Bombyx mori: one gene and its partner. The protein of the gene in region 1 interacts with the protein of each later gene in a pairwise test. Links are inferred from orthologs where the notes say so. Each region holds a gene or a part of one and is shown in the gene's direction. Other genes may lie near its edges. The genes, in order: HMG box-containing protein 4 and mitochondrial matrix protein p33.

Evidence for each region.
Region 2: the proteins of HMG box-containing protein 4 (region 1) and mitochondrial matrix protein p33 interact in a two-hybrid assay, tested with the Drosophila melanogaster proteins (2 studies listed by BioGRID). The link is inferred for Bombyx mori from reciprocal best matches to the Drosophila melanogaster genes CG4617 and P32.

Annotation. Positions count from the first base shown.
Region 1 is NC_085129.1:19,397,520-19,405,647, reverse strand, and holds the start of HMG box-containing protein 4, read left to right. Parts: upstream 1-3,904; 5' UTR 3,905-4,141; coding exon 4,142-4,151; intron 4,152-4,388; coding exon 4,389-4,641; intron 4,642-5,320; coding exon 5,321-5,469; intron 5,470-6,667; coding exon 6,668-6,789; intron 6,790-8,040; coding exon 8,041-8,128.
Region 2 is NC_085114.1:15,032,726-15,040,784, reverse strand, and holds the start of mitochondrial matrix protein p33, read left to right. Parts: upstream 1-2,607; 5' UTR 2,608-2,717; coding exon 2,718-2,952; intron 2,953-3,156; coding exon 3,157-3,198; intron 3,199-5,904; coding exon 5,905-6,055; intron 6,056-6,257; coding exon 6,258-6,454; intron 6,455-7,778; coding exon 7,779-7,867; intron 7,868-8,059. Other genes in the region: rRNA N6-adenosine-methyltransferase ZCCHC4, read right to left, coding at 1,064-1,360.

The DNA of each region.
Region 1 (8,128 bases):
TTTACTATAGGCGGGCCCTGCACGTTGTCCCTCTCGATACCCCCTCGCTCTCACATATCGAGGCGTCAGTGTGCCGTATCTCGCTGACGGGACACCAGCCGATCGTCATCGCATCCGTCTATCTCCCCCCGGACAAGCCCCTTCTGAGCAGTGACATCGAGTCACTGTTCGGCATGGGAGACTCCGTCATCCTGGCAGGCGATTTAAATTGCCACCACACTAGGTGGAACTGCCACAGTTCAAACATAAATGGTAGGCGTCTCGACGCGTTTATAGACGACCTTACCTTTGAAGTAGTCGGTCCCCCAACTCCAACATGTCATCCGTATAACATCGCGCTCCGTCCGAGCACTATAGACCTGGCACTGCTGAGGAACGTAACTCTGCGCTTGCGTTCCATCGAAGCAATGTCAGAGCTCGACTCAGACCACCGACCTGTCGTTATGCAGCTCGGTCGCCCCCACAACCCAGTCACAGCTACGAGGACCATGGTGGACTGGAAGAAGCTGGGCAAATGCTTAGCCGATGCCGCTCCACCAATCCTCCCCTGCGGCCCGGATTCAACTCCCTCCCCCGAGGACACAGTCGAATCCATAAACATCATCACGGATCACATCTCTTCCGCGATCATAAGATCCTCAAAATAAGTCGATGTGGAGGATAGCTTCCACCGCATCAGACTGTCCCCCGAACTTAGGAACCTCCTAAGAGTTAGAAACGCGGCAATCCGGGCCTACGATCAACTTCCCACGCACTCAAACCGGATTCGGATGCGTCGTCTACAGCGGGATGTAAAATCTCGCCTAAGCGACGCCCGAAATGAGAATTGGGATAGTTACTTAGAAGGACTCGCGCCCTCTCATCAAGCATACTGGCGACTAGCAAGGACTCTCAAGTCCGAAACTACCGCTACTATGCCTCCTCTCGTACGCCCTTCAGGCCAACCACCGGCTTTCGATGACGATGACAAGGCAGAGTTGCTGGCCGATGCACTGCAAGAGCAGTGCACCACCAGCACTCAATACGCGGACCCCGAACACACCGAGGCAGTCGACAGGGAGGTCGAGCGCAGAGCTTCCCTGCCACCCTCGGACGCGTTACCCCCCATTACCTCTGACGAAGTTAGAGAAGTAATAGACAACCTTCAACCTAAGAAGGCACCCGGCTCCGACGGCATCCGCAACCGCGCGTTAAAACTCTTACCAGTCCAACTGATAACAATGTTGGCTACCATCTTAAATGCTGCTATGACGCACTGCATCTTTCCGGCGGTATGGAAAGAAGCAGACGTTATCGGTATACACAAGCCGGGCAAACCGAATAATGAAACCGCTAGTTACCGACCGATTAGTCTCCTCCCAGCGATAGGCAAAATTTACGAACGGCTCCTTCGGAAACGCCTCTGGGACTTCGTTACCGCGAATAAAATTCTAATAGACGAGCAGTTTGGATTCCGCGCCAAACACTCGTGCGTACAACAAGTGCACCGCCTCACGGAGCACATCTTAATAGGGCTAAATAGGCGTAAACAAATCCCGACCGGCGCCCTCTTCTTCGATGTAGCGAAGGCGTTCGACAAAGTCTGGCACAACGGTTTGATCTACAAACTGTACAACATGGGAGTGCCAGACAGACTCGTGCTCATCATACGAGACTTCTTGTCGAACCGTTCGTTTCGATATCGAGTAGAGGGAACTCGTTCTCGTCCCCGTCATCTGACTGCCGGAGTCCCGCAAGGCTCCGCACTCTCCCCGTTACTATTTAGTTTGTATATCAACGATATACCCCGGTCTCCGGAGACCCATCTAGCGCTCTTCGCCGATGACACGGCTATCTACTACTCGTGTAGGAAGATGTCGTTGCTTCATCGGCGACTCCAGACCGCAGTAACCACCATGGGACAGTGGTTCCGGAAGTGGCGAATAGACATTAACCCCACGAAAAGCACAGCGGTGCTATTCAAAAGGGGTCGCCCTCCGAATACCACTTCGAGCACCCCACTCCCCAGTAGGCGCGTAAACACCTCCGCCGTTAGCCCCATCACTCTCTTTGACCAGCCCATACCGTGGGCCCCGAAGGTCAAATACCTAGGCGTCACCCTCGACAGAGGGATGACATTCCGTCCCCACGTAAAAACGGTACGCGATCGCGCCGCGTTTATACTAGGACGACTCTACCCAATGCTTTGTAGACGAAGCAAACTGTCCCTCCGTAACAAGGTAACCCTCTACAAAACTTGCATACGCCCCGTCATGACGTATGCAAGCGTAGTGTTCGCTCACGCGGCCCGCACCAACTTGAAACCCCTTCAGGTAATACAATCCCGATTCTGCAGGATAGCCGTCGGAGCACCATGGTTCCAGAGGAACGTGGACCTCCACGATGACCTGGAGCTCGACCCCGTCAGTAAGTATCTACAGTCGGCATCGCTGCGCCACTTTGAAAAGGCGGCACGACATGAGAACCCTCTTGTCGTGGCCGCCGGAAACTACATACCCGATCCTGTAGACCGTTTGGTAAACCGTCGACGTCGCCCAAAGCACGTCATCACGGATCCTCCTGATCCACTAACGGTGCTTTTAGGCAATACAAGCACCGGTCACCGTCCTCGCCGAACCCGTCGCTTGCGACGAAGGGCTCGACGAGCGAATTAACCCACAGACACAGCCCACTGAGTTTCTCGCCGGATCTTCTCAGTGGGTCGCGCTTCCGATCCGGTGGTAGATTCTGCGAAGCACTGCTCTTGCTAGGGCGGTGTTAGCAATTCTCCGGTTTGAGCCCCGCGAGCTCACCTACACAAGCTAGGGTAAGCTGAAATAGCCTCTCAAGGCTATCAGCATAGGTAGGAAAAAAAAAAAAAAAAAAAAAAAAAAAAAAGACCCGAAAATAAAGCCGCATCCATACTAAGAGTAAACCTCTCCCCGTACAATACCATCGTCTGACCGATTAAAAACTAGCAACCGATACCCGGGTACCCTTTATATTCTTGGTACAAATGTATAGTAACTTAAAAAAGAAAATTGAACTTTCACATTTTTGGAAAGTATTTATAATTGAATATAACAGTTGAATTTCGTATAGTGTTCTTAGGAATTCTAAAGCATGTATAAAACGTGTGTGGGTTCACTGTAAATTTCTTATTTCTGAAACGGCCAGGTAAGTATATAAACTAAGGGGATATTTAAGAGCATATATTATTATTTAGTTGACACAATATACTTGTTGCCAGTTGATTTGCTATTCGGGTTCCCGCCAAAACGTTTGTACATCCGATCAAAATTCGCATATGTCCGGCGCGGCGGCGGCAGCCACAATACAACACAAGATTCATTGACAGATGCCTGAATCTCGCTAACGACATTTTCAAAATAAGTTTGAATCTATATTTTTTTTTTTTTTTTTTTCCTACCTATGCTGATAGCCTTGAGAGGCTATTTCAGCGTACCCTAGCTTGTGTAGGTGAGCTCGCGGGGCTCAAACCGGAGAATTGCTAACACCGCCCTAGCAAGAGCAGTGCTTCGCAGAATCTACCACCGGATCGGAAGCGCGACCCACTGAGAAGATCCGGCGAGAAACTCAGTGGGCTGTGTCTGTGGGTTAATTCGCTCGTCGAGCCCTTCGTCGCAAGCGACGGGTTCGGCGAGGACGGTGACCGGTGCTTGTATTGCCTAAAAGCACCTTGAATCTATAGAAGATCCAAACAACAGCATTGGGACCATCAGTCTACGTAGCAATTACACCCATTCGACGGTAGACCTTGCCTTTGTCATTAATCTCCCAAAAGCTTAAATTACTGGCTTCTCGTGTTCTTCTAAAAGGCCTATTGTACTCCTAGTGAATTTCTCCTCGGAGTATTTTTATCTCATCGAACACTTTTATTCTGCTTTTTAGTTGTGTCCATTCCACACTCATCATTTCGTTCTCTTTACATTCCGATCTTTGTTTAGTATGTTTCGTCTTGTTCCAAAAGGCTTGGCTCTTAACCTCGGTTTCTTTTGCTTATCATATAAATCAAACAAACGAAAAATAAAATGAAAATAAACTGCCATCTGTCATTTCTAACACTTATGCTTGGGTTTTATTATTTATTGATTTTTATTAACTCTTTTAATACGACTGTAGAAAAGACGTGAATAAAGAGATGCAGGAAGGTAACTAATAAATACAATACATTTACTGTATGGAATTCAAGTCAATATAAGTTTTAAACGTGTTTAATAACACGTAAAATGATATAGTACTTTAACATCATTTTGATTAGTGGTATTGTGTTGTTAAGTAATAAATAAGTGATCAAGGGCAAATCACGGTCGTCTGGCCCTATACTGGGACTCTGTCGCAACCAAATTATGGATCGTACGTATTTAAGACATGAAATACTATTTCAGATTTAGAAGTCACCGGTATATCGAGGAGTGGTCGGGTTAGAAAGAAGAGTTCCAAGCTAATGGACTTTGAGTCGCCCGACGATATCGAGACTAGGTTCAGGCGCCAGACACCCGTCAAGACATACACCACAAGTCGTCAGGAGGAACCTGACTACAGTATCCAGGAAACACCTCAGAGGCCGGTCGAGGAGGTGAACACTGCATCGGGAAGCGAATCTGATTATTATGAGAATAATGCTGAAAACGCTGATAGGTAAAGTTTCACCACTGGCAGCCAGAAAATAGTCCCTTGAGTAACTTCTTAGCATTATTCACTTAAACACCTCCTTATTCTATATTAAACAAAAAAAAAACTGTATACACATTATGTTACAACATACAAGTTGAGTTGAATAAATCTGTTTTAAACATTAGTAAATAATCTCTGAAAAACATAAGAACATAAAATTTATTGTATACATGAAATGTATAATACTCTAATTCTTATTCATCTTTCTTTCTTCTTCTTCTTCTTTGTCGTTTCCTCATTCCTGAGGGTCGTGACCACCTTGGTCCAGTTTTTGCATCAGCTTCCTCCAAGGCTGCCTGCATTCGGCCTGCTTAATGGCGCCCGGGACTCTGGTGTTTGTGGCCTCCTTGATAATGTCCGTCCACCTTTAGGTTACCTAAAAACTAGCAATTTTCTCTTAATATATAATAAATTTAATAGCTGTGTATTTGTTATAATATAACTGCTATGGTTATATTGTTTGTTAATTGAACTTACAGATATATTGAAAAATAGTTTTGTAGTCCGGGCTGATTAATGCGATAGCTGTACTGCATGTCAAAGTAATTATCTGACAACTTATCAAAAGTGGAAAGACAAATTTCGCATAATATATTAAAAACTCAGTGCCGCTTCAATTCACAGTAATGAATTTTACCTCTAGCTTGGAATCAGACAGTTCGGCTTCTGAAGAGGGATCGGCCCGTACTCCGGCTAACTCATTGTACATGATGGAGAAGAATAGTAAGAAGAAGCTAATTGTGAAGGATGGCCGAGTCATTGGCAGGGCTAAAGCTCAGCGAAAAGATAAAGGTATCTTTTTTCCCCCACCTAATCATTGGTAGCCTAAGGGGCTATTGCAACTTCAAATAGACCGATAGGTGAGATCACGGGCTTAACTTGAGAGAATTGCTAACACAAACCTTAGCAAGAGTGGTGCTTTCCTGAATCTACCACCAGATTAGAATAGGCACAGACTGAGAATATCCAGTGAGAAACTCAGTGGGCTGTGTCTATGGGAAATCTGTCTTATTACCCTTTGTTAAACTTGTATTATGTACAAAAAAACATAGACAAACAGTTTCTAACTAAGTATATTGGTAAGATGAGAAATTGCTTAAACTATGTATGAGATGAAATTTTATAAACATTTTCAAAGTTCCTACTAGCGCAATCTGGCCAAGCCCTGATGTATGCCATCATATTCATTTGAAACTAACCATGAAAAAACCATCCCTGAAGTATATTTAGATATACATACAATAGATCTTCTTATAAAGAAGTGAAAGGTTATGTGGTTTAATGGCACCATTTCGATTAATACGTGACAATTATATTTGTAATTAAAGATCTGTTTTATCTGATACTAGTTTTTGCCCGCGACATCGTCCGCGTGGAATTGTTACTTTGGCATAACAAATAACAATTTGTAATGAATATTTATTTGGATATCATCTCTATAAAAACACCTACATTAATAATTCTTTATTATAGAACAAATTTGGTTAGCATAAAAAATGTTATAGTGAGCCAACCTGAAAAGACATATACTCTCATGAATTTTTTTTCAGAGCTTTTAAAGGGCAACAATTTTGTCATACATTATTTTAGCGAAACTTTAACCGTTACCGCAGCACACGCAGTGGAAGCTCTCAAAAGGGAAAAAACCCTGATTTTGAAAGATTATTTATTGGTGCTCTGCTTACATTGGTCTAGCGCGATGTTATATAGCTCATAGCCTTCCTCGAAAAACGAGCTATCTGACACTGATTGATTTTTTCAAATCGGATCAGCAGTTCCTGAGATTAGCACGTTCAAACAAACAAACAAACTCTTCAGCTTTATAATATAGTATAAAGAATTCGAAGTTTTTAATTGAACTTCAATTATGTTTATCACATTCAAATGGCTGAAGTTTTTGTCATTGCATTTTTTCCAAACTTTGAACTTTAAATGATTTTACTGATACCACTGTAATACCACCGTGTTTCAAATTACTGTACCTTCACAGGAAAAACACGAATTACAGCCTATATGATGTGGGCGAAAGAGGCCCGCAATGAACTGCTTAAGAAACACCCTGATATGGATTTCTCGGCTATATCAAAACGACTTGGAGAAATGTGGTCTAATGTGAGTATAATGTAATAACTAGAAACAAATTTTGGGTTTTAAAAAAAGAAAGATTTGGTCGGATGGCCTTATTAAACTATTGCATAGCTTTTATCGCGGGGTATGAACGCGGCGACCGAATCAAGAAATTCCGTAACGAAAATAAAACCTAACACCCCACTCCGCCTACCATGTAGCTCGCGTTCAACACATTCATACGGTGCGCTTGTGTAATGTTTGTGAATAAGCGCGCGGCGTGACGTCGCACTACATGCGCATCATGAAAAGTCTGCCCATCTCTCTCTCGCGCGGTCCAGCTTATGAATGTGAATGGGACAATTAATTTTTTGCTTATATGTTTATAAATATAGCGTGGTCTTATTTTATTATTGTTTTAATATTAAATTATTATTGTCCAATTATAATTGCATAAGTTGATAAAGAATGCTATGCAATAATAGCTTTACCGCGGCAGTCCCCGAGTGCCACACGTGTTTAATTTTTCCACATTTCTGCACTTTCACAGATATTAAACAGTTCATAAAAAAACCGTTATTACACATTTAAGCCTGAAGAAACACTAAATAGACAAAATAAAACAAATCACACAATGACTCCTCTCGTTCCCGCCAAAAAGTCTCGACTGACTTCTAGTGGCGGAAATTCCGACTCAGATATGCCAGTGTTGCACGCTACAAGATATTCTACAAATATAATATTAAAATATAATATTCATACAATGACATGTACTTGTAGTAGCGATGTATGATGCATTAGAAAAAAAGGGTGCGTGTACTTATGTACGCGCGTAAGAAGTTATACTTTATTTTTATTAAATTCATTTCTTTATTTTTTTAATATTAAATAAATAATTAATAATAAATATTTAACGTTAATAATTTAATAATATTTAGTATGAATTATATTAAATATAAATACACAGTGAACAGAGGCGGCGTGCGTGCCAACACGCGCCACTAACAGAGGTTCCATTTCTGTTTTGTTGGTAGCATTTTTTCTTTAGTGGGCAACTTCATTTCTGTTCATTTTGTGTCACGGTGCGCGCGCATCGTAAAATTTCACTCGCATCAATTTTTTATAACGCGCCTAAAGAAGTATAACTTCAAAATAAGTTTAAGTCTTTTTGTCGGATCTGCTGTGGTCGTTATAGTTTAAAAGAATTTATAAAGGCCCACTTTAATAAAAAATATTCAGAGTATTCTTCTGTATGAAGTAGTTGAAGTATTCGTGAATTCCTAATGAATGTTTCAGGTGAATTACAACGAGAGATACTTGTGGAAGCGCAAAGCCAAGAGATTCGCCATACAGAAGGAGCAAAACAATCAAGTTATCAACAAAA
Region 2 (8,059 bases), on another chromosome or scaffold:
GTGAATTTTAATTTAGGATTATACGTGAAATTAAAATATCAATTCACAGAGGGCGCTACCTTACAATTATTTACTAATGACAAAATTTTAAGACGTTTAGGATACAGTCAAACCTGGATAAGCGAGAGTTCAAGGGAGCACAATCTCATTCTCGCTTATAGAGGTTTCTCACTAACCCGAGTTTCTCTCTAATGCTCCCTCTGAATTTCATTTAGAGATTTTACGGATTCAAACGAATTCACTATTTTAAGTTTATCACTTAATGACAGTAGTTTAATTTTCCGTTTTGACATTATGCAGAACAGAACTTTCCTTCGCAATTGATTAACGATAAACTGGGTAAGTCTGACAAACAAGATGGTACACAGGCACACGTGTCCATTTGAAAAGAATGCCATAAAATAATAACGTTATTTAGTTCCACGAAATAGAATAGGTTCAATATTGACGAGAAAACAATACAAAAACAATGTTAAGAAGTTCCACGAAAGTTAAAAAATGCGTCATAAAATATTAGATTTTAAATTTGTAATTTGTTTTGTCATTTGTTCCTCCTAAATAATATAAATAAATAAAGCTCGACTGTCGCTTATAGAGGTATAGAATAGTAGCAGTCTCACTTACGGAGGTTCATGAGGGAAAAATACTCCCTCTTATAGAGGTTTCCGTTTCTCGCTAATAGAGGTTTTAGGAGCTAAAAATGACGGGTCCTGGCTATTACTCTCACTTATAGAGTTTTCTCACTTATCCAGTTCTCACTTACCCAGGTTTGACTGTAATTGTATTTTAATTTTGGAAGGTTTCACTTCTACCACGTGTGAATTGCACACATGTAAATTTTTTTTAAAGTAAGTATTTGTCACAATTTTACATTATTAATACACTACTATTTACTTTCTGATCAGAGTAGAGTTTGACAGACAAAGTGACCATCTACTTTATCCCAAAATTCCTGATTCCGAAACTTTTTTTTACCAACGTTACTTTTTAACAACTTTAAAATATCTTCCGAATTATCAATTACCAAACTCGGCAATCAGAAATCTGTAGAAAACATTCTAACCTCCGCAAAGTTATTCCACGCTTGATTTTTATTGATCGTTGGAATTAGGCTATAGTACTTTTCATTTCGTTTCTTGACGTTCTCCTTCAACCAGTCTTCTTCGCTGATGTGTACTGTGCAGTCTTTTTTGTTCCTGCACGACGAACATGCGAAATATCGACCTTTTTCGCTAGAAAATAATAGTGTTGGCCCGTGCATGCACAGTGGGTGATTTGTTACGTCTTCTATGACTACTTCGACCGGTGCTGACTTAGGTGTGTCGCCCAATTTTGACATAATCTTTCGCTTTTTCGCCATTGCAAACTATTTATAATTTAATTTGCGTTTAATATTGTATAGCTTGAATAAAAACACGTTCCAACCAAGTCCAAGTTGTTAAATGTCAATTGTCAAAAACTTATCCTAAATTTTTATCGTTCCAATGGGCTAGCAAGGGGAATGTTGCCCGTACGTTATCTTATGTAACACACACCCGAAGTCTATTTAACAAAATTTATCGAGTTTTAAAAAAGTCCAGGTGGCTCTAGATGTACTCGTCATTTTACTGAAAAGTTATTTTATGTCACCAGAAATGATAAATGATCACTTGTGATGGTCTTATCTAATTTTACCTCATTTAAACGTTAGCAGTAGTGAAATAAAAATAATAAAAGCGAGATTAAACCGCAAATCACGTTTAAATTTTAAAAAATACCGAACCCGAAAAACTCATTTTACGAAAAACTACATTCAATGGATTTGTTTCATTTTTGTGCACTTTCACAAATGTTCAGAAATAGAATAAAACAGCTGGTTTTATGCAATTAACTCTCGAAGCGTTTAACCCTCAGACATAGCCACAGCCCACTGAGTTTCTCGACGGATCTTCTCAGTGGGTCGCGATTCCGATCCGGTGATAGATTCTGCGAAGCATGGCTCTTGCTAGGATTCGTGTTCACGGGGCTCAAACTTGATGACATTGCTATCATCAAGTTTGAGCCCCGTGAGCTCACCTATTAGTTAAGGCGATGCTGATATAGCCTCTCAAGGCTCAGCTTAGTTAGGTAAAAAAAAACCGGAGCGAATGAAAAAGTTTGATTTAAATTAAAGAAATAATTTGATTTAAATTAAGTAAATTATTTACAGACTCCCGCCATTTGACACAAAGTATTCGATTGCGCCAGACCGGGAATGAGTTCAGGATATGCCATCACCCACCTTGAGAAACAAAACTGGCATAGGCATGTATTAACAATAGGGAAAGGTCGATATCTATCCATGCATGCATGTCGCATATATTACTACCAGTTTTTTCTTTATATTTATTTTAACTTTAAATACACGGTTCCACCTTACGAAACAGAAGATTCAGTTTCATATTATGTTAAAAATATTCATCTCATCCAACTCCTAAAATGTTGCATCCTCTCATTTAAATCTATTTCATTTCATTCAATTTCATGTCCATAATTATTTCATTTATAGTTTTTAAGCACTGACTTCAGCTTTTCCGAAGCAAAAATCTTGTATAGGCTATTCCTTTGCCCCTCCAATAGACGAATCGTGAAACAACTAAAGTCGTCTGTGGTCTCAATTCTCATTCACTTTTTCAACCTGACTAAAGTTTTGTAAAAAAATTTAGAAAAGTGAACATTAAGTTCAATAAGCAGGAAAAATGAGCGGCATAGTTAAAGCGACCCATAGAGTGCTGCAAACATGCGTTAAAACTGCGAACTTAAGCGGGTTGGTTAGTCGCACACAGACGGCTGTGAAACGCGACTTTACTAGGGGTATATGGCACATGAGCTGCTCTCGAAGGTTAGATGGGACCCTGGCTTCCACCAGCTTGCTACACAACCATTCCAATACTTGCAGCTGCGGCTGCGGGTTGAAGGCGCTTCACACGAAAGGTATTAAATTTCCGGCTATCTCCATTATAGGTTATAATTACACCATGCTTCGTTGGTCTTTAAATGTATCACCAATAATAAAATAAGGTATTTGTTAACGTTAATTTAAAAGGAAATTATTTTTTCTAACAAATTTGTTGCACACAAATGACGAAATAATGGGAAATCATTAGACAAATTTAATACTTTAAATGCGTTTTCTAGCCGATAAAGAAGACGAACACTCCATTAAACCCAAGCCCCTTGGTGAGTCCTAATCCTATTCCTTAACTAGTAAGTTCTGCGGTGGTACTAGCTTCATGTTAAATTGATGAACTGAACAAAACTAAAATTATATGGACATATGAATATATTTAAATAAAATTTTGATCATCACCAAAAAGTACTAATACTCTGAACAAAATTTATCATATTTTAATATTATGTACTTACATCAGATCATTAGCCTTTTTGAAAAAAACACATCTTGCATCACAGGTTGTGCACTAAATGCAAAATTCAGAAACCTGGTGCGTAATATCAAAAACAAATGTACCCACTAACAATTCAATTGGATAATTTTTTTTTAATACAATACAAATAAACTATGAGTTCTCATTCAGAAACAAAACGGGACAATTAATCAGGGTATGGGTTTGAAATGCATCAACATTCTGTAGGTCCAATGCTTAGCTCATTCAAATCAATTTAGTAACAACAATAACATTGAAGATTAAATTAATTAGTCATTGAGGTAAATTTGGGAGTTTACAGAATTATTCAAAATTAAAAAAATCATCCCTGCAAAATTATCTTGGGCCTTTCAAAATCAGAAAGGTCTTAGAATCAAGCAGGGTACATTAAAAACACACTTTCATCCAGGAATGAAATTAAAGATTTTCATTCCTGCATAGAGGTATGTGACATTCTTTCCAGTTTTAGTGTGGGTGTGCTCTTTCTTTCAATTTAGAATAGGAATAACATTTATATTTTAAAATTTAAAATAATCTATTTCACCATTTTTAGAATAACGATTATTTCAAATCCTAATAACATGTATTATAAACATGGATAAATTTTTCAATATCCAATATACATAATAATATATCAATGTATAATGGTGATAACACGTGTTGCAATACTGTAGCACTGTATTTCTATCACTAAGCAGTTACGTGTTCAAGTTTGAAGGCATTAAATAAATCAATTAAGATCACAATCTCATGTTTCAAGGTGGGTGACAGAATTTATGTTGTGATGTCTGTAAGTTCTGTAATCACTTAACATCTGGTGGTCTATGAGCACATTTACCATCTAAGCAAATTCAAATTCAAATTCAAAATCATTTATTTCAACTTAGATGTCAGTATGACACACTTGTTGAATGTCAAAATACAAATAACAATGTTAACTCTACCACCGGTTCCAAAAAAAGCCACAGTCCTGAGAAGAACCGGCGAAACAAACTCAGCAGGCTTTTTTTTTTGTTTTTTTCTCAAATATTTTCTTTTTTTTAAATAAATAGAAATATTCACAATAAAAGAAAAAACAAGTCAAAAAAATACAATTAAAAAAAAAATTATAATAATGAAAAATGAAAAGGCCAGGAGTGAGCGCCTCATTCCCACGTAGTGCCATCTAGTAAATAATCCTTAGCTTTAAACAGTTTTCTTAAATCTACGAACAGGTAGTAGTTGAACGTTTAGTGGGATCTTGTTGAGCAAAAAAAGCATAAAAATAATTCCATTTGCTAATGGTATTCAATTAAATGTAATAATTGAAATCCTTAAATAGGACAGACATTACAAATAGGCAATGCTCATTTGCAGATAATCATTCATTTATTTATATTGTAAAGGACACCCTTGATTTTCTAGCCCCAATAGAAAACCTTGAAAAGTATTATTTTAACTTTAATTAGTACTGTGAGGATCTTTGATCAGTGTGCGCTGCATGTTGGTGTAGTTACTAATTAAAAAAAATAGTTACAGTCAAAACCGTTTACTGCGACATCGTTTAATACAACATGCCGGTTATAATAACCAAGAACAAAGGTCCCGGCTGAATGCCATATGACCGCCTTATTAAAAATATTGGTAATAACGACATACCTCATAAAACAACCACATTTAACTAATATTTCGGAGAATTAGATCTGTTAGAACGACCGGCTAGCTGTATTGTAAACTATTTGAATAGGTATCCACATTTGTCTTCAATGGCTATTAAAATCAGGAAAGAAAACAATAGGATTTAGTTTAGTGTAGGGTCTTTTCTAATTCTTAGAAACAAAACACGTGCATGCGGTAGTCAAAGCCCGCTTCTTCATATCTCTTCAGTTAGTTTGTTACTTATCTATACACAAGACGCACCAAAACTTTGTGGAGTTATTCGTGAAACTTTCAAAATGTCGCAAAGAAAAAGAAAACAAATTAATATTGAAGAAAAATCGCGTATTATGTAAATATATTTTTCCAATAACTCTCTATCGATTTGTTTGTACTTGCACGATACACATTAAACATCACCGGTTGTTACGACTATCGGTTTTTGCGACTTAATATGAGCAGTCCCTTCGATGTCGTTATAACAGATTTTGACTGTATATCCAAACTCGCTATCTGTAGTACTATTCTCTACTCTAAAAATGTTAACATCCTACTAACTTATATTCTGACAGGCACAATGAAATATAGTGTTGAATAGTATAGTTGGATTTTCTCTGTTGATCTGCAGTTATTACTATTCATCATTATAATCAAGAGTAATGTAAATCTAATGTAGTTGTTGTAGTTAATAAAATAGTAGTGAAATGAGAGAAATTAAAAAAATACCTTGTTTGTGTATTATAAACTTGTTGTTTGTTGATTAAAATTCATTACCTACTTATTGAATGTTTTACAGTATTGTAGAATAAATTGCACTTATTTTCATTCTCAATGTACATAATAAAACCAATTTATATAAATTCAGGTGAAAGAGAACTGGTAGAGTTCCTGACAGAAGAAATAGTTGCTGAACGCAAAGCACAGAAGGTCAAGTCTCTCCCTGCTGAAGTCGAAGGCTTTACTGTAAAGGGAGACGGTGCTGAAGTTGTTTTAACAAAGCAGCTTAAAGATGAAACGTAAGTAATGAAATCTTGAGAAGGAGAAATATTGAATAATTTTTTTTTGGGGAAACAGTTGTTAATAAATGTTGCCAAATACTTATTTTACTGCCCAGCAATCTTCGTCAATTTGTTGAAATTCGAAAAACTAAAGAAACAAGCCCACAGAAATATCATTAAAAATAGTGAAATTTTAAGTCTAACTATATATTTTTTTCAGAATTCGTGTCACATTCAACGTTAATCACACTGTGGACTCTGATGACTTTGAGGGTGATGTTCAGACTGAGAAGCAAGAGTTCTCTGAGATGCGTTCCAAACCTCAGTTTGAGGTTGACCTAGTCCGAGGAGACACCACCCTTGGTTTCACCTGCTCCTATCTTCAAGATCCACCTGCAGCTTCTGCTGATGAATATAGTGAGTATACATAAACTTAATTATTTCTTGATTCTGATTAATCAAATGGGTCTAAAGATTGAGTACTAAGAAGTCAAAATAGTCTGTTTACCATATCGACGCTTGAAAGACAAACGTGACTAAGCGACAATAACTGCTTTGTACATAAATGATAGGTAATAACCATATTCAATGCACAAAAAAAAATATTTCTAGGTCTATTAAAAGCATTCCAATCCTACAGCTACTAGCTAGATTCTACTACAGCTAGATTCATTAAAATAAATTTTGTTTTCAAATATTTCAACTTTAAATTAGTCTACTGTAAAGTTCACGCACTGTCGCTTAGTCACATTTGCCTTTCAAGTGTCGATATACAATTTACAAAGAAAAAAGTTTATTTCAGTTTAGAATTTGGTGATAGTGCAAGAATGTGTCAAGACTCACCCTCCCCTTTCCTTTTTTCCCTTTTTGTTTCTGCCATAATACAATTAATATATAACCTCAATCTTAAATATCAAGGTGTCATCATTATTCACTTTTGATCTGTGTATAGGGGTATCAAAATTGCTGTTGTATTAGATGAAGTACTAAAGGTGTGAAGGTAGCAAGAATCCAGTAGATCTGAGCAGCATGATGTCGATGTTTTTTTTTTATTGCTTTGATGGGTGGACGATATCACAGCCCACGTGGTGTTAAGTGGTTACTGGAGCCCATAGACATCTACAACGTAAATGCGTCACCCACCTTGAGATATAAGTTCTAAGGTCTCAAGTATATATTCAAACCGAAACGCATTACTGCTTCACGGCAGAAATAGGCAGGGTAGTGGTACCTACCCGTGATGATTCACAAGAGGTCCTACCACCAGTAATAATGCAAATTATAATTTTGCGGGTTTGATTTTTTGGGGGTTGTTTTGGACCTTCAGGAGGCCTTTATCTAACAGTAGTTGTCTGTAAATTTGATTATTGAAAATAAAATGAAAATATATTAAAATAGTCTATGTAAGCAAAAATAATTCAATTATTGACATTGTTAGCATTGAATCAACACATTATAGACAAAAAAGATCAGAGCTTTTTGCAAATATAAATTATTTGGTATCACATACAAAATACCAGATTATAATTTTTATAGTTCTATAGGGGCAAAAATGATTGAAAATTTCCACTTCACGCAAAAGATATGTTAAGTCGTAAGATTTGTTCAGATCCGGCCATGCTGTAAGCTTTGGTCATAGTAGTTCTCAGAGGCTAGTAGGCTAATGTAATTGCAGTTAATCAACTCAACTTCAACGGAAACTAAGTACTATAATTTAACTACTTTTAAATTGTGTTTTCAGACGATGTGTTCGGCATTGACGAAATAACCCTATATAAGGGTGAATGGAATGACAAAGTGTATGCAGTCGCTGGTGATGTGCTCGATGGGGTATGTTATCTATTCATCTTTATTTAGTATGTAAGATACAGCATCTTGTCGGTTTTATATAATACTAGCCGTACTCGCCCGCTTCGCTTGGGATTTAAAATTAACATTATTATTTATTGTCATTATTATTAGGGAGTCCAACACTCATATAAATATAAGTACATGTATTTTCTACATGGATACTAAGTTTCA